3 linked regions of the Diceros bicornis minor genome follow. The protein of the gene in region 2 interacts with the protein of the main gene of each other region in a biochemical or structural test. Links are inferred from orthologs where the notes say so. Each region holds a gene or a part of one and is shown on either strand. Other genes may lie near its edges.

The links.
Region 1: the proteins of CD244 (region 2) and SH2D1A interact in a biophysical measurement, tested with the Homo sapiens proteins (2 studies listed by IntAct). The link is inferred for Diceros bicornis minor from reciprocal best matches to the Homo sapiens genes CD244 and SH2D1A.
Region 3: the proteins of CD244 (region 2) and INPP5D interact in a biophysical measurement, tested with the Homo sapiens proteins (2 studies listed by IntAct). The link is inferred for Diceros bicornis minor from reciprocal best matches to the Homo sapiens genes CD244 and INPP5D.

The regions. Positions count from the first base shown.
Region 1 is NC_080781.1:114,107,053-114,114,783, reverse strand, and holds the start of SH2D1A (SH2 domain-containing protein 1A), read right to left. Parts: upstream 3,011-7,731; 5' UTR 2,855-3,010; coding exon 2,718-2,854; intron 1-2,717.
Region 2 is NC_080743.1:65,400,658-65,408,161, forward strand, and holds the start of CD244 (natural killer cell receptor 2B4), read right to left. Parts: upstream 3,010-7,504; 5' UTR 2,872-3,009; coding exon 2,811-2,871; intron 1-2,810. UniProt on the Homo sapiens protein: Heterophilic receptor of the signaling lymphocytic activation molecule (SLAM) family; its ligand is CD48.
Region 3 is NC_080776.1:21,220,522-21,228,254, forward strand, and holds the start of INPP5D (phosphatidylinositol 3,4,5-trisphosphate 5-phosphatase 1), read left to right. Parts: upstream 1-4,723; 5' UTR 4,724-4,859; coding exon 4,860-4,993; intron 4,994-7,733. UniProt on the Homo sapiens protein: Phosphatidylinositol (PtdIns) phosphatase that specifically hydrolyzes the 5-phosphate of phosphatidylinositol-3,4,5-trisphosphate (PtdIns(3,4,5)P3) to produce PtdIns(3,4)P2, thereby negatively regulating the PI3K (phosphoinositide 3-kinase) pathways.

The DNA.
Region 1 (7,731 bases), on a different chromosome or scaffold from region 2:
ATATTGTTATTTCTACTGCATATCATAAGCATATACATTTTTGTTTAAAATGAGTACGTGGTTTATTTCAAAATAAAATTTAATTTTGTTACTACAGTGTAGTACTAAAAAGGGGGAATAAAATGTTTACGTTTATCAAAAGGGACTCTTGGCTCAAAAAGGTTGAGCAACTGTCATAAAAGGCAATGTATCCTTGTGTCTTCCCTCAGCAGCACAGTGTGGCAATCACCCTCTAAGACGTGGTGGCTCCAGTGCGCCCATCAAAAGACATGCTAGACGGACTCCCAATTTGCCTATTATTTTTTTGCTACTTCATAAAGAGGTTTGCATGGAGAACTAAGAGTCATCAAAACTGCATTTATGTAAGATTCACTTTGGGTGAAAACTTAAATGTTTGAGAATTTCCCACCAGCCTAAATTAATTCCATATGTGGTCCTGGCCTACATGGGCAAAGGCCTAGAGTTGTCCACCTCTCTTGAATATTTTACCAACAGTAATCTTATGCAGAAGGTGGGGCACACATCCCTATTCCTGTTTTACAAATATGGAAACCAAGACCCAGAAAAGTTGAGTGACTTCTCGAGACTACACCCTGGCCTCCTGATATCAGCCCAAAGCTCTTTGCAGTAAAGAACAGTATTTGCCTTGACAATTCATTCATTAATTCAAAAATATTTATTGAGTGCCCATTACATACCTCCTAATGTGCATCATAATGCCTATTATGTGCCAGGCTGTGTTCCTGGTGCATGAGAAAATGTCCCTGCCCTCGTGGAGATTACTTTTTAACAGGAGAGCCTAGCAATAAATAAATAAACAAGGAAATGTCAGATAGTTTAAAGCTCCTTGAAGAAAAATAAAATAAAGTGATAGAGTGTAACAGAGACGGAGAGAGGGCACTTATTTTAGATAGGGTGGTCAAGGAAGTCCTCTCTGAGGGACGAGGCGGAAGGAACAGTAAGTGCAAAGATCCTAAGAGGGGAGCATGCCTGGCAAGCTTAAAGAACAACAAAAAGGCCAGTGTGGCTGAAGCCTTAGGCGCATCTTGCCACACACTGTCCCCTGCTCTCCCTCCCCTGCCCAGGCTTCTGTACCTTACTTTTGACCTCTAGGTTAAGGGGCCCATTACCTCCTACGTCAGCTTCCCTAAAGAAGCCCCTTTTGCTGGCCTACTCACTCCTCCACCTTCTTTTGATAAGAAAAGGGCCTAAGAATACTAGTTGGTTTTCATTGACCTTGCCCAGTTTCCACCTGGGAAAAACAATAATATAAGCAAAACATAAAGATCTGAGCCCAAGAGATTCAACGGCTTCCACGTACTTCCCTTGAAGCCTTTATAATAAATGTATTTAGCATGGCCTGAGAGTTGCCCCACACATGGCTTGACCATTTAAAAAAATAAAGAAAATCCTCTAACACCTCAGCATAATCTTTCTTCACTGACCCAGAGGGTACTTCAAAAGCTCACAGTGTATCATTAGGTACCAAAATTACTACCAAGAATTTTCCCTCATTTTGTTTCTGTCTAGAACCTATTGTGCAGAGCCAGTCTTTTCATGGCTATTTTTATCCTGCTGACAAAAAGTGATTGAGCTAGGTACTTCCTTAGAAATGCCCCATGAGTACTGAAAGAAATCGACTGAAGAAAAGCATATATTAATAACTACAGCTTACATTTACTATGTATCAGGTCCAGTGCTAAATTTTTTACTTGCATTATGGCATTTAATCCTCACAATCCTATGAAGTAGGTAGTCATATTATACCCATTTTATGGACCAGAAAACTGAGAGACTGAGAAGTTAACTTGCCAAGGTCACAAGCCTAGCATTGGACAAGCACAGGATTAAGTCTCAGTTCTGCCTGACTCTGGAGCCCTGGAGCAAAGATGAAGGTGCATCTGCTTCAAAATGAGGTGTCAGACTAAGACATGCCTAGGTAAACGGCAAAGTTGAATCACAACAAGGGTGTTTTCCCTCCATGCCCTTTACGACTGTTGTCAGTCCTAGTTTATATCAAGAAAGGGTCTTATTTCTGAAACCCCCTGCCCCCACACAACTCCTCTAAAGGAAGCTAAATAAGCAGATCCAGAGAGTCAGTTTCACTCACAAACATCTCCGTCTCGGCGTCCTGACCTAACTGGCATTGCATTCTTAGTAGTGGATTCAGTTTCTTAGTCTTCTTCCTCTCCCTGAATGTGATGGTCTTCTTTTCACATGACACCTCCGAATCCATTTAAAGAGATCTAGGGAGAGGCCCTTCATTCTCTCAGGAGCTGGTGGCCCCAAATCTGGCCTGTCCACCCTCCTAGGGTTCCAGCTTGCTGGCCTCTAATGGAGGTCAAAACGGAATTCGGGAGTCTGGGTCTTTCTCGGAGCAAAGGTAAATTCTAGGCTGCGTTTCCCTACCCCAAAGGGCATTCTCTGCAGCTGCCCTAAACGGCCCGGGCGAGGCCCTTCTGGAGAGCGGGAGGGCCCAGGGAGTGAAATCTCCACTGGGGGCCTAGGCCAAAGCATGGTCCACCACAGCCCTGGGCTGGCTCTGAGAAAGCCCTTAGGGCTCTCTGGTGGGCAGTGGAGGAGGCCTCGACGAGCTCCTGCTGCCCACCCGTTGCCTACTGAGGCCTCTGGCCCCCCGCCGCCCGTGCCCACTGCCCGTGCCCGCTGCCCGTGCCCTCTGCAGGCCCCAGCCCCAGCCGCGGCCGCGACGTACTCACAGCACACACAGGCAGTACACGCCCGGGACACTCTCGCTGTCCCTCAGCAAATAACTGCCGTCCAGACCCGTGGCGAGCAGGAGCTTCTCCCCGGTCTCCCGGCTGATTTTGCCATGATACACAGTCACCGCATCCATGGCTTGGTGGACTCTTGGGCGGGCCGAGGCGTGGGACGGTTGAAGGGATGGCAACCAGGCACGAGTCAGCCACCTGACTCCCAGTTCAGCCAGATGTGCAAAAAAGAGAGGGGAGCGCCCTAACAACAGGATGTTGTCTACCTGCCTTAAAACCTCCTTCTCACACTTCAATTAAAACCTGCTCAGCGATTCAGCAGCTTGGTTATCGCCACAGGGTTTGATCCCCTCCCCACTCGCCCCTCCTAACCCGCCCCCCCCAAAAAAAAACAGGGTTCATACGGAGAGGGGAGGACAATTGGAAGAAGGTCCTTGCAAGATGTGGGCGGCACTGCCAATGCAGACCCTTGCACGCAGGAATGCTTGATAATGCTTCTGTTCTTGCATTTTCCCAGGGACCGAACACCAGGGGTGACTTAGCTTAACTATTCCCAAAAGGGAGTGATGATAGAGGCAAGTTGTACATGGCCTTCATGCGGGCAGAAAAATACTGACAGAGAATGAAAGGGCCAAAAGCTCTGAGACCAAAACTGAGCATAGCCAGGAGGCTCCTACAGAATCAGAAGTAGTAGGTGAACAAGGGACTTGGGGCAAGTATCTTCTCTCCCTCCCTAGGCCCCCTCCTCTTCTGCTCCTCCTAGTCTTCTTGAGCAATCTTGATCTTGAACAAATACAGATTTTTCCTACCTTCTTGTCCAAGATCCCAAAGTGCTGCTTGAGGTACAAAAATTACTCTATGTCCAGACATGTTCCAGATTTAGCTATTTGATGGGCCTTGAATGAGAGAATGTATCATTTAGTGGTGTTTTGTCTTTATGTGGACTTGTATATGCCCTCTGATGTCATAGGGCCCACCTTTCAGAATTTGGGGCATAAAACTTGTTTTAAATCATATTGCAAGTGTTGATAATTGTGTTGTAACTTTTATCCTCTGTTGTTAATAGAGAATATGTTTTTTCTCCAGTTGATGCTAAATTATCATTAATTTTTTAAAACCTTTCAACCTTCATTTCCTTCTCTGAAATAAAGCCATGCTTTTATTTCAAAATGTGCTGTTAAGTAATATTTCCCGTAAACTTCCTCCTTTTTCGCTAGAATAAGACTTTGTTTAATGCTTGAAGCTGAACGGTCTTATACATTTTTCCTTTTGATTATGTAAAATACTTTTAAAATTGGAATTTAAATAGCTGAAGTTACGTTGTCTGTTGTATATCTTCCACAACTTCAGCGCCTAGTTCCTTGAGAACACGGCAAGGCTGGGAGTTCGAAAGGGAGAACAATTTTTAAGTCCTCACATGTCCTACCAATGGATCGGATGCACAGAGCTGCCTTTGCACCAAAGCTAGATATTTGCTATCCTCCCGCTAGGGTTGAGAATAATCCTCTAAGATTTCATTGGCAGCTCTCCTTCTTGATTGAAGTATGCCCAGCCTTAGAATCTATCAATCTTAGTAGATAAAACATGAACATAAGCCTCCTACAGTCATTTGCAATACCAAAATTAAAAAATAAATAAATAAAATAGCATTCAAGATGATATTTGGGGATGGCTCTGGGGAATTGAATCAAGATTGTCTTATCATCTTCCTACCTCATTCATTTATGGCCAACTCCACCTCTCATCCTTTTTCACGCTTTGGGTTAAGGAAGAAATTGACCTGATAATACACCAATGTTAAGGATGTGAGAGGTTAGTCCACCCTGAAATCTTTATATTTTGAGCAGGCAAATGCTTAGCCCAGAGAAATTAATCACAATGGTGGAATTTCAAACACGAAAGGAAAAGGTAGGGAAGGGGATCCCCTCATCCAATCCATATGGACAACAGCCCGCCTGTGAGGTAAACTGTGAGAACATTCAGTGTCACATAGGTAAAAAGAAAACTCCAGCCTTTTTGTCTCTGAACAACCCTGAACAAATCATCCGCAAACTTAAGAACAGAGCAACCTGGATCTGACAGCAAAAGCGTACCATGCATTCTTCTTTTCGTTCTCTGTTTTGTTCCGTATTGCTAAAATAGCACAGCTGTCAAAGCACCCAGGTACGGTGGGGTTCAGCACAACTAAAATCGTATAATAAAAGAACAGACAAATTATAAGGTAATAGTACAACTCTCACATCCAGTCCCTCATTGTCATCTCACAAGCAAGCTGACAGCTGAGCCAGCCCACTACTGCAGTGTTGATGAAAAACACTGACATCTTCACTCTAGTGCTACACCGTTACTAAACCTGACTTGAGCAAATTCAAAACTTCACGCTGAGCTTGAAGTGTGGAGAAAGAGAGATTGAAATGGCTCTCTTCCTTCTCTCTCACCATACCTACAAGAGAGGAAAGGGGAAAAGCTGAAAGAGGGGAGCAGTAGAGATAGTGGAGGCACCAATAGAGAAAGAGTTAGGAAGAATGGGCCCCAAATACAAGTATAATCCACTTAGAAGCGGACTTATCTGATTGTTTATTGTCTGTCTTCCCCACTAGAACATAGGGTCCATGACATCAGGATTTTGTGTACCTTGTTCACCACTGTGTAGCCGGCATCTGGCACATATTAGATGCTAAATGTATTTATGAGTGAACAAATGAATGAACTTAGTGCTCTCAAGAAAATAAGAGAAAAAAATACACACACACACACACACACAAATTTGATTCTCCATGCCTCTGGCCCACCTTTGAAATGGCAAGATGAATTGGAAGGAGGACTAGTCCAGCAATTATGAGAGTCAAATTATATTCCATATTTCGCCACTAAATCACTTCCTCTCTCTGAGTCTCATTTTCTCCATCTGTCAAACGGAGTTGAACCAGATGACCCCTAAGGCCACTTCCAGCTTTAACATTCTGTGCTTTAAACAAAAGCCGAACGTACTTTAGAGAGAAACAGAGGGGAAAAGGACTGAGCTCATTTGTGTGCAAGAAGCAAGAGCTGTTTCCTCAGGTCTCACCCAATAGAGGAAAGATCTTTATTCTTGTTGTTTTTAAATGATGCAAGAAATAAAAATCATGAGATGGAGGAAGAGGGCTTCACAGTTTAAAGCAAAGTACAACCTTTTAGAATACAGATGCCATTTAAATCAAATATAAAAGCACTGACAAACTGTCAGCCAAGGTTGAAAGTGTCTTCTTATCTAAACTTGACACCTCCTGAGGTCTCCGAGAGGTGACAGAATTTTACATGTGGATGCCCTGTCTGAGGTGCTAATTGTCTTCATTTCAAATGCTCTAGGCTATTCTCAAACCCAGGTAGATTAAAGGGATGATGCCAAGGGTGGTCAATTTTATAGAGTGGATCTGACATTTCAAAATCCTTTTCTCTAACCTTTCAAAACTAACTTTGTTCTTCAACTAGCTCATCTATAGGTGTGAATTCTCCTGTGACAGTGTTATGATATTGTCACCAGTGGTGAGTTTACACCTTCTCTCGGCACTTACTAAAATTCACTTCCTTTACAAAAATGAGAAAAGAAAAAAAAATGTCTTAAAAAAAGAGCACCTCCTTTTGATAAGATCTGGGTTTTACCTATGAGGCTAATTTTTCGAATGCCCTTTTGTAAGTGAGAAGCCAGAGTCAGGGTTGTTGTGTGTGTTTATTTAAGCCTATTTTAAATATGCTTATTCTTTCAACCAACATTTAGGAGTATCTACTGTAGGACAGACACTGTAGTAGGTACTTAGGTTAGAGAAAAAAAAAGCACATACCTGCCTTCAAGTAGCTCATAGTCTAGTGAAGAAGATAGACAAGCAAACAATTACAATTCACTTAATAAGAGCTGTGATAGAGGAAAGGATGGGGTTCTAGGGACACAGTAGTGGGACATCTAACTCAACTTATATTCTTTTTTTTTTTTTTGTGAGGAAGATCTGAGCTAACATCCATGCTAATCCTCCTCTTTTTTTGCTGAGGAAGACCGGCTCTGAGCTAACATCTATTGCCAATCCTCCTCCTTTTTTTTTTCCCCCCCAAAGCCCCAGTAGATAGTTGTATGTCATAGTTGCACACCCTTCTAGTTGCTGTATGTGGGACGCGGTCTCAGCATAGCCGGAGAAGAGGTGCGTCGGTGAGCGCCCGGGATCCGAACCCGGGCCACCAGTAGCAGAGCGTGCGCGCTTAACTGCTAAGCCACGGGGCCAGCCCCCAACTTATATTCTAAATCTGCACGATCTACTGAAGACAGCAAGTTCTTTATCTTTCCGTCTGCTATGTACAGTTCCTTTTACTTCTCCTAATTTTACCTCCTTCATGACTCAGAGGATGCTCCCTAATTCTAGCTGAAGCTCTGCCTGCTTCTAAGGTTTTATTCTTGGAATAATAGCTAATATTTGTTAGTCACATACTACATTCCAGCCATTCCTGCTAAGCACTTTGCGTGTATTGTCTCATTTATTTATATCAACAGCCCTATAAAGCAAATACTATTATTATCCCCATTTTACCAATGGGAAAGCCAAAACTCAAAGAGGCTGGGTAGCTTGCTCAAGGTGGCACAACTGGTCAGTGTCAGGCCCAGGATTTGAACACAAGCCACTGACTTCAGAGCCTGTGCATTTCACCACTCTTCTCTTCTGCCTCCCAATGTTAATTCTGAGGTCACTGCACTGAATTGGTCGGGCTTCAGTCTCCCAGCTAGCAACTGTAATTTTGACTTCTAGAATATTCTTCTTACACTTTTCAAGTGTCAAATGTTCCCATGTCCTGACTTGTAGCATGTCTATGTCTATCTATATGCCTTATGAGATCAGATACACTGTTTTAGCCTGGGCCTCTTTGGTTAGTATATCTTGGAAGGCTCTTACAGAGTCAAGATCTATTTCCCCAGGCTTAAATGTCTGTAATCTAGATCATCAGCTTATCCATCCAAAGTAATAGAACACTGAGTGTT
Region 2 (7,504 bases):
TACTGAATAGTCTCTTCTTGACTCTGATTACAAAACTAAGTGAAATATATGCCCAGCCTCCAAAGAGCTGAATAACATGAGTGTTCATTTTGGGGTATTTGTTATAACTCAATGTTTTTCTAAGCACTTTATATACTCTGTCTTGTCTAATCCTCACACACCCCTATGAAGCAAGCACCACTGCTGACTTCAAGTTATGGGTGAAAAACTGAGAAACAAGAGGTTAACTTCCTCAAGGCCACAGAGATAGTTTCTGGTTTAAAATTTAGAACAACTGTTCCCAGTGAAACTCTCTAGTAGACAGATAAACTCTCACTCTATTCCAGGATTATTAAAAGTATTCATTCATTCAATAAATATTTATTGAGTGTCTACTTGTGCCAGATATTGTTCTAGATGCTGAAGATACATCACGAACAAAACAGAGAAAAGCCCTTGCCTCAAGGAGCTTACCTTCTAGCGAGGGAAAGAAGAGCCTGGGAGACAGAAAATAAAACAAATAAGGAAACGGTGTAGTATTTAAAAGGGAGACGAGTACTACAAAGAAAAATAAGTGGAGAGGGAGATAAGGAGTTGCAGGATGGCAGGGTTGACATTTTTAGAGGGGAAGGCATCATTGAGAAGGTGGTATTGGAGCAGAATCCTGAGAGGTTGAGGGAGGAAGCCATGTGGCACGTGGTGCCGTGAGGGTGGGGTAGGAGCAGCGTTCCAGGTGGAGAACACTGAGTGCAAAGCCCTGGAGTGGAGGTGTTCAAGGACCAGCAGCCAGTGTGGCTGAAATGCAGTGAGCAAGAGGAAGGGGAGATGGCCAGGGAGGCCGGCTGCTGTAAAATGTATGGCTTTTACTCCGCTTGAAGTGAGAAGCCTCTGGAAGATTTTTGCAAAGCTCAGACATAGCAACTGAATGTAATGCATGATCCTGATTGGATGCTGGATCAGGAAAAAAATGCCATAAGGCATGTTATTGGGAAAATTGGTAATATTTGAATATGGGCTGTGTATTTGATTGTATCAATGTTAAATTTACTAAATTTGATAATTGTGCTGATATGATATGATATGATATGATATAGGAATGTCCTTGTTCTTCGAAGATATGTGCTAAAATATTTAGGAGTAAAGGCCATGATGTCTGCAACTTAACCTCAAATTGTTCAGCAAAAATAATAATTACTATGTATTTATATACACACACATATATATGGAGAGAAAGAGAAATAAAGCCAATGTGATAAGGTGTTAATAACTGGTGAATCTAGGTGAAGGAAATTCAAGAATCTTTGTATTATTTTTGCAACTTCTCTGCAACTCCAAAATTATTTCAAACTAGAAAGCTTGAAAATTAAAATAAATGAATAGAGCAGTTTCAGTCAGCTTACACCAGCCAGGCCCACAGATACAGGACATAGCAAGAAGAGAGAGAAGTTCCCTAAGACCAAAGTCCATGCCTCCTTATGCCCAAAGAATCACTCGCCCGCTTCACCTGCAGTGGTCTGGCATAGCCATGCCCAAAGAGAGTGCTGCAGCCCAGGGCATGGGGACAGAGGGAGCATCGTCCTCGTGTTACACAGGCTCATGATCTCAGAGTTAGCCTCAACATTCTGTCACTCTCATCTCCAAAGCCAGGCACAAAATCCCCTCAGTCCTACCCCAGCTGTCTGGGGCACTTTCGAGGCTGCTTAGACCGAGGATCCAACCTGGCTCTCTTGCCTAGGATCCTGGGTCACTGGGTCCCACCAGCCCACACACATGAGCCCCAGGCTCCAGACCTCTCTCATTCTGCTCCCAGTTCCTAGTCACGCTCTGCCTTCCTCTGCCTGTATTCATCACAAATGTCAAGACCACCTGAGCCTAGATTGTGTCTTCCTAAAGGACACCAGAGCGCTTGGAGGCTCAAGAATTGAACTAAGTACCCAGGGAGGGGAGTTTATTCCATATCGGGCTTCTAACAGGCCCTGGACACACACCCTGTGCCTCAGTTTCCTCCCTTTGCACCCAAGTGTGCCCTCCTCTCATTCCACCCCCACCCACGCTGCCCCTCAAAGAGTCACTCCAGGCTCCAAGTCTCAGAGCACCCTAGACTCCAGGGCTGGAGAATGAGGGGAGCAGCCCACAGCTGAGATCCCCCCAAGTAAACATGAGATGGCTTGACACCCAGCTGACAGCTTTCCGTTTGCTGTGGAGCTTCCTAATATTGTCTCCTTATCCCCCTTCCCTGCTGTCTGCCCCAAGCCAACATTGTCCTAATAATTCTCAGGCTTCTATGGCCTCTGGGCTGCTGGAAGAGCTGAGAGATGAGGGGCCAGGCCATGCAGATTAAGCCTCTGTCCTGGTTGTTGGCCTGCCCTCCCCTCCTCAGTGCTCAGCTTCCCTCCCTGACAGGGAGCAATCTGTCAGTCTCTGAGCTGCAGAACCACTCAACTTTCTCGTGAAACCCAAGCCCGGGGGCCACTTCTCCTCTCTGCTGGTAATCGCACCAAATTAGGGGATATTTCCTTTGTCCGTCTCATAGCCAGCAGGGAGGACACTTTCTCCCCACTATGCAGAAAGGTACATTGAAGCCAGTGGAAAGGAATCTCCTTGCCCAAGGCTGCCTGGATTAGTGATGGCATGGCCCAATCCGCTTCTCAAGGACCTCCCAACCCACTGCCAGCCTGACATGTCTGACTTCACCTGTCCAGAGCTGTCAGGAGCTGCTCAGAGTCACAGGCGACCATGTAAGCAGTACAATCCAGAGGCTCTGATCTCCCTGAGGGCCACTGCCCCCAGTACATACAAGCTCCCACCCATCCCAGGCTGGACCTCCTTACCTTGGCCTTGATGCCCCTTGAGGAGCAGGAGAAGTGTGAGAGCAAGAGCTTGCCCCAACATACCCAAAGGACAGAGGGGCCAGGCCGGCTCCTATCCCACCAGACACTCCGCAGTGCACAGGCTCAGCAGCCGCGAGTCAGCAGGAGGGCGATGGGGAGCAGAACTGCCTGTCTGGCCACAATTTCCTCAACTTGAGGCTGTTCTCATCGGCTGACAACTAATAAGGCCACTGAGGAAGCCCCAGTCCCTAGACTTGGTCTGACAGTTCCCACAAACTGAATTTGCAAAGGGTGCCTCAAGTGGGCGGGTGCTCGGAGTTCACAGTGGCTTGCAAAGGGAGCTTCAATACCTTGGCCCTCGCTCTGCCCCAGCCTGGCTGCTTCATTCAAAGGGCAGATGCCCAAGAAATTTTCCAATTCTCTCCATCCTACTGGCAATACGTAGAAACCTACCTGGGGACCAAACAGCCATGATGCTAGACTGTCTCATTCCAACAGGCAGTGTGAAGCAGAGGGGAGAGGGGTGGGGAGAGTGTGGGCTGAGAAGTGGACCCTAGACAAGCGGGAGAAGCGTTGAAGGAGAGGAGCAACTGGGAGACATAGGAGGAGGCCTGAGAACTGGGGGCACCTGACAAACCTGACAGACCTGGGGATGCTCTGCAAGACGATACTAAAGTTTAAACACATACAAATTCAAATTGTTTCATGAGAATTTGCTTTTGCTCCAGTTTCCTAACTGTACTTCTAAATTCCCTCCCTTCCTCTTTTTCTACTTTCCTATAGTAGTTCTGCCTTCCTTCTCTTGCCTTCTTTCATCCAGACAGAATGGAGACCCATTTTTGTGGTCCTCTCCCATCCACACTTCAATTCCACTCTCCAGAAGGGCCAGGCAGCTTTTGACCCTCCTCACACCTCCTTGGAGGGGTAGGGGCAGTGACTTCCCACCTTTTCCAGAAAGCATTTGCTTTCAGGCCTTCCCCAGGGTTCCGTGCCTTTTTCTTTCTTCTGCTTTCCCCTTAGCAGCAAATGCTTTCAGTTCCCTTCAGGTCAGCCCTTCTTCTCTTTGTCCATCCTTTGATCCATTTCCAATCACCTTGTCTGAAGCTGGGCTGAGGGGAGGCAGACTGAGAGCCTTGGCTGCCATGAAGGCTGCAGTGATGTTCCGGACAGAGTACAGGATTTGGAGTCAAAGACATAGACTTGAGTTCCAGTTCAGCAACTCACGACCTGTGTGATCCTGGCCAAGTTGCTTTCTGAGCCTGTGGGGTCAACAATACTCCCCTTCCTCATGAGGTAGTTTTTAGGACCAAATTAAAAACTGTGCCTGAGAGTATGCATGTAAAAAACCTTGGACATAGGTAAGTTTCATTTTGTTTTTTTAAACATAGCCCTACATAGCTTTTTCCAGCTGGTCTAATGGTTTCAGCTGTTCTCTTCTTTGTTTTTTCCCAAGGGGCAGCCCTCACCCCTGGAGAGTTTCCTCAGAGTTGATCTGGCCATGCCTTTGACCTTGAGAAGTGATACTCAAGACATGATGCAACAAGGAAGGATAAACTTACCCCCGTGAAAGACGGAAGACAAGGTCCAACTGTTCAAAGCAACTAATGAACAACAGGAATTAGGAATCTGCTTCACTGATCCTGACCCCAAAACCAGCTCCATCCTCTCCCCGCCAGTCATGTGGATGACCCACCAACCCCTAGAAACTAAACTGGAGCAGGCATACCACTTGCGTATCTCACGGTCCTTAACATACTCTACCACATAATAACTGCTACTTGTTCTACACACTGCCCTGCCAACTGAGCTCTTCAACATGAGATCTGTGCTCTCCTTAGCTTAGTGTTTCCAGAGCCTGGCCCACTGCCTGGTTCTTAATGGTTAGTTATAGATTGTTGAGTGCTGAAAGAAGGAATGAATTCCCTAGGAAAAGCATTTCCATTCCCCCTGAGATAAACTCCTAAGCTAAGTCACCATGGTCCCTGCCTTCATAGAGTTTATATCTTGCCCTGCAGGATCCTTGTGCAAAGAGACCTTCTGTGCAATTCAGCCACTTTAGCATGAAGACCCAAGACCCTGCAAAGTCCACATAAACTCAGAGACTCTGTAGCTCCATTTCCTACGCATATTCCCCAGGTCTCTGTACGTCTGATACTTTTAAAGATCAGTAGCAATCCAGGAATTAAAGATTCATCAACCCCCACCCTCTTGTCCTTCCTTTTCCCAAACTGTACTTTCACTATGTTTCACTGAGCCAAGGTCATTCTAGTTATCCCAGCTGCAAAGTTCACAAGTCCCCCAAACCACCCACTTCTGAGACTTACTGTACGTTCGGGGTTCCCAAGAGCACCTTTAGCTTTGATAATTCATAGAAGGCATTTTAACAGTAATCATTAACATGTTAAATCTGTATGCTCTTTGACCTACCAATACCTCTTCTTTGAATTTATCCAGCAGAAATACTCTCACCAACGCACCAAAAATAGTTGCACAAATGCCGAAAGACAAACAAGGTTTTCCTTACAATATTGTTAAGTAAAAAATTGGAAACAATCTAAATTTTAATCAGTAGAAAACAGTTTAAAAAATATGGTGTATTCATTCTTTACTACAGTGTATTAAGAAGCCTTTAAAAAGAGTAAGATAAATGTATACATACTCATATTAAAAGAGCTCTAAGACATTCACAAAACAATCTGCATGATATAGTTCTGTTCAGGTGGACAGAACTAAGTGTGTGTATATTTATATTCTCTGAATGGTTGTAAATGCAGAGACACATGCCTGGGAAAAATGTATTCATGATGGTAACCTTTAGGTAAATAAATAGAATTTGGAGGAGGAGTGAGTGAGAGAGTGACTTTTACTTTTTATTCCACATATACTTCTGTTGAGAACTTTTTACAATGACTATATTACATGTGTGATGATTTAAAATATCAGTTCTTCAAGTTTCCAGATGTTCAACTACGTAATTTAAGATCAATCCATTAGTCAGGGCTTTCCAGAGAAACAAAACCAATAGAAGATATATAAACGCAGATAGAGAGATGAAGATGGAGATAGACATAAAGAGGTTTATTATAAAGAATTGGCTCATGCATTTATGAAGGCTGGCAAGTTCAAAATCTGCAGAGCCAATGTCCCAGTTTGAAGGCCATCAGGCAGCAGAATTCTCTATGACTCCAGGGAAGGTAAGTCTTTCTGTTCTATGCAGGCCTTCAACTGGTTGGATAAAACCCATCCACATTGGGGAGGACAATCTGCTTTACTCAGTCTACCAATTTAAATATTAATCTCATCCAAAAATATTCTCACAGAAACACTCAGAATAATGGTTAACCAAATATCTAGGTGCCCTGTGGCCCAGTCAGGTTGACACATAAAATTAACCAACACAATCAATGAACAATCATCATGATTAATCTGTTTGTGGGCTGGTTTTAAGAAAGCAAACTTTATAAACCAAATATATTATGCAAGTGAATTGCTGCAACTGTTTTTAGAAATAGTAATCCATTTTTATTTTTTAAAAATAGGGGCCAGCCCCGTGGCTTAGCGGTTAAGTTCCCACGCACCGCTACTGGCGGCCCAGGTTTGGATCCCAGGCGCACACCGACGCACCGCTTGTCTGGCCATGCTGAAGCGGCGTCCCACACACAGCAACTAGGAGGACGTGCAACTATGACATACGACTATCTACTGGGGCTTTGGGGAGAAAAAGGAGGAGGATTGGCAATAGATGTTAGCTCAGGGCTGGTCTTCCACAGCAAAAAGAGGAGGATTGCATGGATGTTAGCTCAGGGCTGATATTCCTCACCAAAAATAATAATAATAATAATAATTTTTAATTTTAAAATTCAATTACATTTTTTTAAATTTTTTGTTTATTGCAGTAACATTGGTTTATAACATAGTATAAATTTCAGGTGTACATCATTATACTTCTATTTCTGCATAGATTACATCATGTTCACCACCCAAATACTAATTACAACCAATCACCGCACACATGTGTCGAATTATCCCTTTCGCCCTCCTCCCTCCCCCCTTCCCCTCTGGTAACCACCAATCCAATCTCTGTCTCTATGTGTTTGTTTATTGTGTTATTATCTACTACTTAATGAGGGAAATCATACGGTATTTGACCTTGTCCCTCTGACTTATTTCACTTTGCATAATACCCTCAGTGTCCATCCATGTTGTCACAAATGGCTGGATTTCATCGTTTCTTACGGCGGAGTAGTATTGCATTGTGTATACATACCACATCTTCTTTATCCATTAGTCCCTTGATGGGCACTTAGGTTGCTTCCAAGTCTTGGCTATTGTGAATAATGCTGCAATGAACACAGGGGTGCATGTATCTTTATGCATTGATGTTTGGTTCTTTGGATAAATACCCAGGAGTGGAATAGCTGGATCATATGGTAGTTCTATCCTTGATTTTTTGAGGACTCGCCATACTGTTTTCCATAGTGGCTGCACCAGTTTGCACTCCCACCAGCAGTGTATGAGAGTTCCCTTCTCTCCACATCCTCTCCAACACATGTTGTTTCCTGTCTTGTTAATTATAGCCATTCTGACAGGCGTGAGGTGATATCTCTTTGTAGTTTTGATTTGCATTTCTCTGATAGTTAATGATGTTGAACATCTTTTCATATGTCTGTTGGCCATCTGTATATCTTCTTTGG
Region 3 (7,733 bases), on a different chromosome or scaffold from region 2:
GTATTAGTCAGAGTTCTGCAGAGAAATAGTGCCAATAAGATGTGTGTATATATATATATATGTATATATATACACACACATCTCTCTCTATATATATAGAGAGAGAGAGAGAAAGAGATTTATTTTAAGGAATTGGCTCATGTGATTGTGGAAGCTGGCAAGTCAAAAATCTGCGGGGTGGGCTGGCAGGCTGGGGACCCCGGGAGGAGTCGATGCTGCAGTTTGAGTCTGAAGGCCATCTGCTGACTGAATTCCCTGTTCTTTGGGGAACCTCAGTCTTTTTTTGTTAAGGTTTTCAACTGATTGGATGAGGCCCACCCACAACATGGAGGGTAATCTGCTTTACTTAGAGTCTACTGGTTCAAATGCTAACCACATCTAAAAATATCTTCACAGAAACATCTAGAATAATACTTGACTAAATATCTGGATTCCGTGGCCCAGCCATGTTGATACACAAAAATTGACTATCACAGCTCCCTTTGCTTTTGGTGACTCAGTGTCACCACTTTGATCCTCCCCTGTCAATAAGATTCAGTGGGGGACACATCCGTCTCTCTGCCCAAGCTGGTAGGCAGTGGGGAGCCCTGGGGTACAGTGAAGGGCTTCAGTGAACACGGGAGGGGAAGGGAAGCATGATGATAATACTTAGAAATATTGTCTGGTCATTTGTGAAGTCACTCTGCATCTCTGCCTCCTCCCCCACCCCATGTCCCTACAGCTGGGACTTCATGGTCCATCTCCCAGCTCAGCCCCTTCTCAGCCCCTGAAAACCACTCTGCTTCCCGTCCAAGGGGGAAGGACCCTGGACAAGTGGCTTAATGGTGGTCCCCATTGTACCTCTCTCCTACCCTGCCCTGATGCTGTCCTGAGGCTCAAATGAAGAGTTCTAGCCTCTTGGGACCTGACCTGACATGAGTTTTCAGCAGCAGAATCCCTCCTATCCCTTGGTGCCTACCATGTAAGCTCATTTCTTCAACACTGAGGTTTTGTCTGTTCTTCCCAGAGCTTCTAGAGGCAGCCAAGTGTCCATGACCCAGTGCCTGCCAGATCACCCTGACGCTGCTCACTGCCTGACTCCCTACAAATTTTCCAAGCCCACTCCAATGTTGGGGACTGGCCAGGGCTGGCAGTGCAGTTGGGTGGGGTGCCCACACGAGCCCCGACCCCAGTTTTCCCCTTTGGCTGCTTTCCAAACTTCTGCCCTACATGTGGAGTTGACCATGGTCCAAAGAGCTCTGAGACTCAAGCCTATGGGATCTTTCTGGAGCCACATGGCTGGGTGTAGCTCAGGGGAGCAGGTCACTCCTTCTGACCAGTGTGGTACTTCTTTTGTGTGATGGCACAATATTGGGCCTCTAGAATGGTGCTGAGATCCTGATTTGGGATGATTCTCATGTCAGATACAAGACGAGCTCTGGCTCTGAGCTGCCCATGGGCCAGGGTCAATCTTTGACCACACCATGTGAGGGCCCACAGATTGCCTCTCACCTACAGCACTCCACCAACCGTGCTGCCTCCATTCAACAGCACTGAGGGCAACATTGATGGTGGCAGATGTTCTTTACCTTCTGCATCCCTGCCAAGAGCACCGGGGCAGTCACTCCATCCCCTCTGGAGGCTCGCATCCAGGTGTCAGGCAGCATTTCCTCCAGTGGATCTCGAGACCATTGCTCAACAACACCTATGGGCTCTTCCAATCAACCGAGGTTGAGTTCTCCAGGTTGATCTTAATCATGCCAGGTGCAGGGTGGACATTCCTTGAGAATAGAACTGCTCTCTTGTGTGGAAGGCAGGGGTGCGGTCATCATTGAAAGAGATCACAACACAGGAATGTGGTGATTATGGCCTAAAATTCAAGAGAAGATGGTTGGAAGGTGTATTGTTCTACATTTGTGCTATAAAATTCAGAACAGTAGATTTAACATACTAGAAAATGAATTATCGTTAACATTTGCTTGCATGCTCTAGGTAAGATATGCATTTGTGGTTATCAATGAAGCAAAGGAACAATCTCAGAGGGAATGGTTGGGGCCCAGTGTGCACGGGTGGCACAATGGCTGAAGCAGCATCACTGGTAATGACATAACCAGCAATAAAAAATGTGATTAGGAAATGCAGAGGCAAGAAAAAGATCTATGTCGTGTCAAAATGAACAGGTTCTGAAGAGCCACAGCACCGTGAATAACAGCAGCATGGCCACCCTCATCTCGCTGTACGAGATACGACACCAGCCAAGAATGGTCATTTAACGATAAATGGGACCGGAACAGGAAGAGAGGACCTGGACATCATGAAGACTCTTCAAGGGCACTGATTGGACGTTGAACATATACATAACTACCTCCTTTCTATCTGTTATTCTAAATCTTCATTGATAGATCAATATACCTCCCGTGGATCCATGAATTTCATAATACAAGTTTTAATTAAATTGTTTATATAGACAGGGCCCTGCCAAAAATATTTACTCAGGCCCCACCCACCACAAGGGCAGCCCTGATCTAGATGTTGGGGTTTTCTGAACGTAGGGGGCAGAAGGGCAGGGGGACAAGGAAGCTGACCATGTCGGATGGCTCAGACAATTGGGTTGGGAAGGAAGTGATGATGGGATGGGAAACGTGTGTGTCATGTATGTGTCAAAGGGAAATCACACTGGAGTCAAATGGCAGGGAGGGTCCGACTGCCCCGCTGTCCCCCGTGACTCTGCTGAGATGTAGGACTCAGTGGGAAAGAGATGTGAGAGAGGGAGTGTGAGAAGCTGGAGAGTGTGAGGGAAGATAGAAATAAGTGGGAGAATCTCAGACACGGTGGAGGGTCTCTAGGGATGAGCTGGTCAAGGTACGGAGGGGCCAGGATCCTCCTGATGGACTCTAGAGTGACCAGGGGACTTCAGGCCAAGAGCAATGAGGAAGTTGGTGGAGATCAGCAGGGAGGCGAGGAGAATGGTGCAAAGTGTATGATGAGAGTGTGGAGGCGGCGTGGGGCTGAGGTTGGGGCAAGAGAACGAGAGGCCACCACAGCAGCTGCTGGGGAGTCTGCATCCCCAGAGCCAAGCTGGCTTCGGGCAGGCCAGAGTGTGGAGGCCAGCTCTTATCCCCACCGTGTCGCCAGGCTAGCTCAGGCTTGCCCAGAGGGCCCTTGATACTATTGGCTGCAGGTTTGGGAGTTTAGTCCTTGGGGTCAGTGGGAGGAGTCAGGGGAGGGGACAGTCATCAGGGGAGAGGAAGCTCAGAGCTGCTTGGGGAGGAACTGGCTTTGGGAGGTGGAGTGAGGACGGGGGAGTTCTCTGGGCTCGAGTTACCAAAAGGAACTTCTCCTGGAGCCCAGAGAGGGCCTGAAGGCGAACCCGCTCTGCTCTGGGCCTCAGAATCAGGATGCGGTCAGTCCATCGGGATGAGAGCGCTTTGTTCGCTCAGAATCACCCGCTGTGTGTGCTGCTGCAGGCAGGGCTGATGGGGGCTCCAGCACACAGGAGTGCCTTCAGGGGCTACTTTCCTCAAGGGAGAGAAGAGGAAACCGGGGCTCAGAGAGAGATGAAACCTGACCGGCTCCTGCAACTCGAATGCAGGGGAGCCGAGTTCGAATGGAGGCTTGCCCCTGGAGGGGGTTCTGTTGTCATATCCGGGGGGGCCTGGATGTGGGATTGGGGGTCCACCCCTTGTGCAATAGGTTAGCACTTGCCCCTTCACCCTGGTGGGCCTGACCCAAGGACAGAGGGCATCCAGTCTGGGGTCTAAGGGGGTGGGTATCCACTTTGGAGCCCTTGGAATCTGCTGGTCCTGAGTGGTGGCCCCCGGGAGGCAGCTCCCCTTTGAGCCATGGGCAAACGTAGCCACGCCTGGCCTCGGGGGAGACGCAGTCCCACCGGCCACCCCAACTCTGTTGAAATGTAGGACACAGGAAGCAACGTCATCTTTGGCCAGGGGGTCAGCCTGCCGGCGGGGAAGTGTGGGTTTCCCAAATGTCCTGAAAAGACCCAGAGCTGAAAACCCAGCCTGCGTGCATGGGGCAATGGAGGACAGGTCACCCAGGCTTCCTTCTCACCCACCAGCCCCGGGGGACGAGAATAAAGGTGTCACAGAGCTGTCACCTGGGCCATCAGAGCCCTCAGGTGGTGTCACTCAGCTCCGCCCAGCTCCCAGGGCTGTGTGGTGTCTGGATGGCCTTGAGTCTCCAGTATGGGGAGAGGGCTCAACTGTACCCCTCCCCCTAAATTTGGCTCGGCCCCTGGGGCCAGGCCTTGTCCCAGATGAGAAGCTCTGCCCTGGGATCCTCGGTTCCTTGGGTAGTTTTGGGGAGGTGAGGGGGGCAGAGAGTTGAAAAGCCCTGGGGTAGAACAGAAAGCGGAGGGATCGCTCCAGGGCGGGGCCCTCCCATGTGAGCATTGGCACAGGCCCGGGAACAGCCGCTGCTTTGGCCCGTCCAGGCCTTTTAGGCCACACTTCTTCAGAAGTCAGCCATGAGCCTCCTGTCACCACAGGGGCTGACAGTTCCCGAGGAGGACTCGAGCTGACGTTTGCCCCTCTGCAGACCGAGACTCACTGAAGGAAAGAGAAAGGGCGGGAGGGGGAGAGGGAGGGGGCAGCAGGCCCAGGGTGGGCGGGGTGGGAAGGTGGAGGACCAGACGACTCTCTTGCTTGGGCTCTGCAATGAGGAAGTTCTCTGCAGCTCGTTTCCTTTCCCTCGCTGAGTGCCTGAAACAGGAAGTCGGTCAGTGAGCTGGTGGCAGCAGCCGGGCCAACCGACAGGGGACAGACAGCAGGTCCAGCTCCCAGAGCAGGGGCCTCAGCTGCCCTCGGTGGCACGTTGATCCTGGGGGTGGCCGCTGGCCCAGCCCGAGGAGGCCCACGGCCACCATGGTCCCTTGCTGGAACCATGGCAACATCACCCGCTCCAAGGCCGAGGAGCTGCTCTCCAGGACGGGCAAGGACGGGAGTTTCCTCGTGCGCGCCAGCGAGTCCATCTCCCGGGCGTACGCGCTCTGCGTGCTGTAAGTACAGTGCTCCTCACCCCGAGCCCCTCTGCCGGCCTCCTGGCCTCTCCTGTCCAGGCACAGAGATGATGGAGGTGTGACTATTGGGGTGTAAAGCCAGCTGGGGGCTTAGCCAGGCGCCTGGCACTGGGATGGGTTGTTTTTATGTCATGGGATGGAGTGGCCTGGCTCGCACACTCCCCGGGGTTGTTGGTGGGTCCAGCTGAGGCCCATTGCTGACCTGCTGGCCTTGAAGTTGAGGGATGGCAGCGGTGGAGCCCTCCAGAGCCACCCTGGGGCCTGGTCACACATTCCTCTTGCCCCTGAGCCATGGTGCCAGGGGCTTCCTCCGGGTTCCAGGGACCAGGAGAGGGGGGCCGGGGCTCTCCGAGGCAGGCGGAAGGTCAGGGCTCCATGGTGGTGGGTGTGTTAGAAAGCAGCTTTGTCCGCTCAGGTGTTGGTCAAAGATGTCCAGTTTGGAAACCCTCATGGAATAGCAGACGTGACAAAGGGGGACCCGTCTTGTGCCCAGGCTTCGGGATCCTAGAGGAAGCTGTTGTCTGGGGAGCCACGGATATGGGGTGTGTTCACTCAAGAGAGGACTTTCAGTTCACCCAGAAGTTGCATTCGGGCCCTGAGAGCAGAGGAAGTCACCATCACCAACAGTGAGAGCCTCTTCTCTCGCTGCCCTGGCACTCAGCTGCGTTCCCCTTCCCCCCCCGCCCCGTTTGGGCCTCTCTGCCCCCATCGACTCCCCCTGCTCCCTGGCTCTGGCATGTTGCTGAATGTGCCCGTTGTCCTAACAACCAAGGAACCAGCCACCTGCTGAAGATTCCTTTTTAGAACACCCTTCTTGACCCGTGTCTGAAGGAGGCCATCATCCCTGCAGCCCTGAGGTCTAACCATCCCTGCGCAGGCCTTGGGCAGTGCCAGGGCGCAATGGGGGAAGGGTGCGTCCACCTGCACCTCGGAGGTAGCGCCCCTGGGCTTGCAGAAATGTCCCTCTGAGCAGGCAGGAGGGGAAGTGGGTCACTGAACACAGACCTGTTTTGAGAATCGAGTCTAAGCATTTGTCCTGCGTTATCCCATTTCATCCTCACAACAACCTGAAGGGCAGGTCCTGTTATCGCCCCACTTTGCAGATGAGGACACTGAGGTTCAGACAGGTTAAGTGAGAGATGACAGTCAACCTGCTGCCCCCAGAGGGGGCACCCAGACAACCAGGCTCCTGCCACTCCACTCCCGCCCGTCAAGCTGGGTGTGAGTGTAGGTTCCGGGTGACAGCAGGAGAAGCCAGGGTGTTTACAAGGGCCAGCTGGGAGCATTTAGAAAATAGCTCAGGCTCACAGCTGGCCGACCGACCAGCCTGAGCCCTGACTGCGTCAGAGGCCCCACCTCCCAAGGTCCGCTTCCTGCGCCCCCCACTCTCACCCTCAGGGGAAGGGACAAAGGCCCCGACTTCCCTGCAGCACTGCCCCTGTGGGGACCTGCCAATGAGGCCTTAGAGACAGTGGTGAGAATTAGATCTGACTCCACTTGGCCCATGTGGATTTCTCTCCTGCCCCGGCGGGACTTGGCAGAGGGCCAATTTGGTTAGGTGTTTGCTGTGTGCCAAGAGCTTCCGGGGCTCTGGCTCGCTAATGTAACCTTCACAGCAGCCGTTTGCTCAGGGCGCTGTGGTTGCGCCCAGGTTACGGTCAGGGAACATGAGTCTCTCTGACTCCAAACTGGCAGCATCACAGCAAGCCAGAGGCAGAGCTGGGCGAGGCCCTGGGGACCTCTGGTCCAACAGCCCCTGAGTTTGCAGGTGAGCGGATGGAGTTCTGAGAGGTCGAGGCCTTTGTCCACACTGCCCTGCTGGCTGGTAGCAAACGGAGATCCAGGCCTGGTTTCCAGTATTCGTTCCTCCACCCCTCCTCCCCTCCCCTCATCTGCACTGAGTTACTCTCAGAGCCTCGGCAGATGTGTGGGGTCTGCACCTTAGGGGTAGTGCCCATGGTACCCACAGATGTCCACCATCCTCATAGCCCAGGCCTGGACTTCTCCTCAGCCTCCCAGCCCCAAGATCTCTTTGGCTCCCACACCAGGGCCTGGAGCCCTCCCGGGGAGTCCCTTCCCTTGGCCAGACCCTCACCCTGGTCTCCCCTTTCTCCTCTGCTTTGTGGGGGAAGCCACCTTTCCTGCAGGAGCAGGAGCCACTGTGGGCTGTGGGATACCACACACCACCAAGCTTTCCAAAAACCTGGAGATCTGCCACCATCCTTAATTTTGGCAGTTACGGAGACTTAAAAACTAAAAACTAACTAAATGAATGACAACTACCTACCACCTTCCAATGGCTCATTTCGTGAAAAAAAAAGCATCCTTTAACACCAAAAAAGTCAGGAAAGTCATACTCCTTAAAAAAAAAAAGCCAGTCCTTTAAATCAAATAGATTTAACTGTCCTGATCCGCAGTCTGGCGCTGGGAGCCCTGATGGTGTGAAGAACAACTGGGCTTCCCTCAGTTTCAGAAGCAACAGGCTTCACCCCTCTGCTGCCTCTCTGAAGTCAGCAGAGAGTGCAGGGACCCTGCGAGGTGCAGCTGTGGAGTCAGGACCATTTAATGACCCTGCTTTAAAAGTGAGCCAGGACTGCAGAAGGAAGCCACAAAGACTGGCCCTTCTGCTCTAGAAATATCCATAAGGAAAAAGACCCCCCCAATCCAGGGTGCCCAGACCTCATCCTGCCTGGGCCCCAGTGGGCTGGAGCCTCTTCCC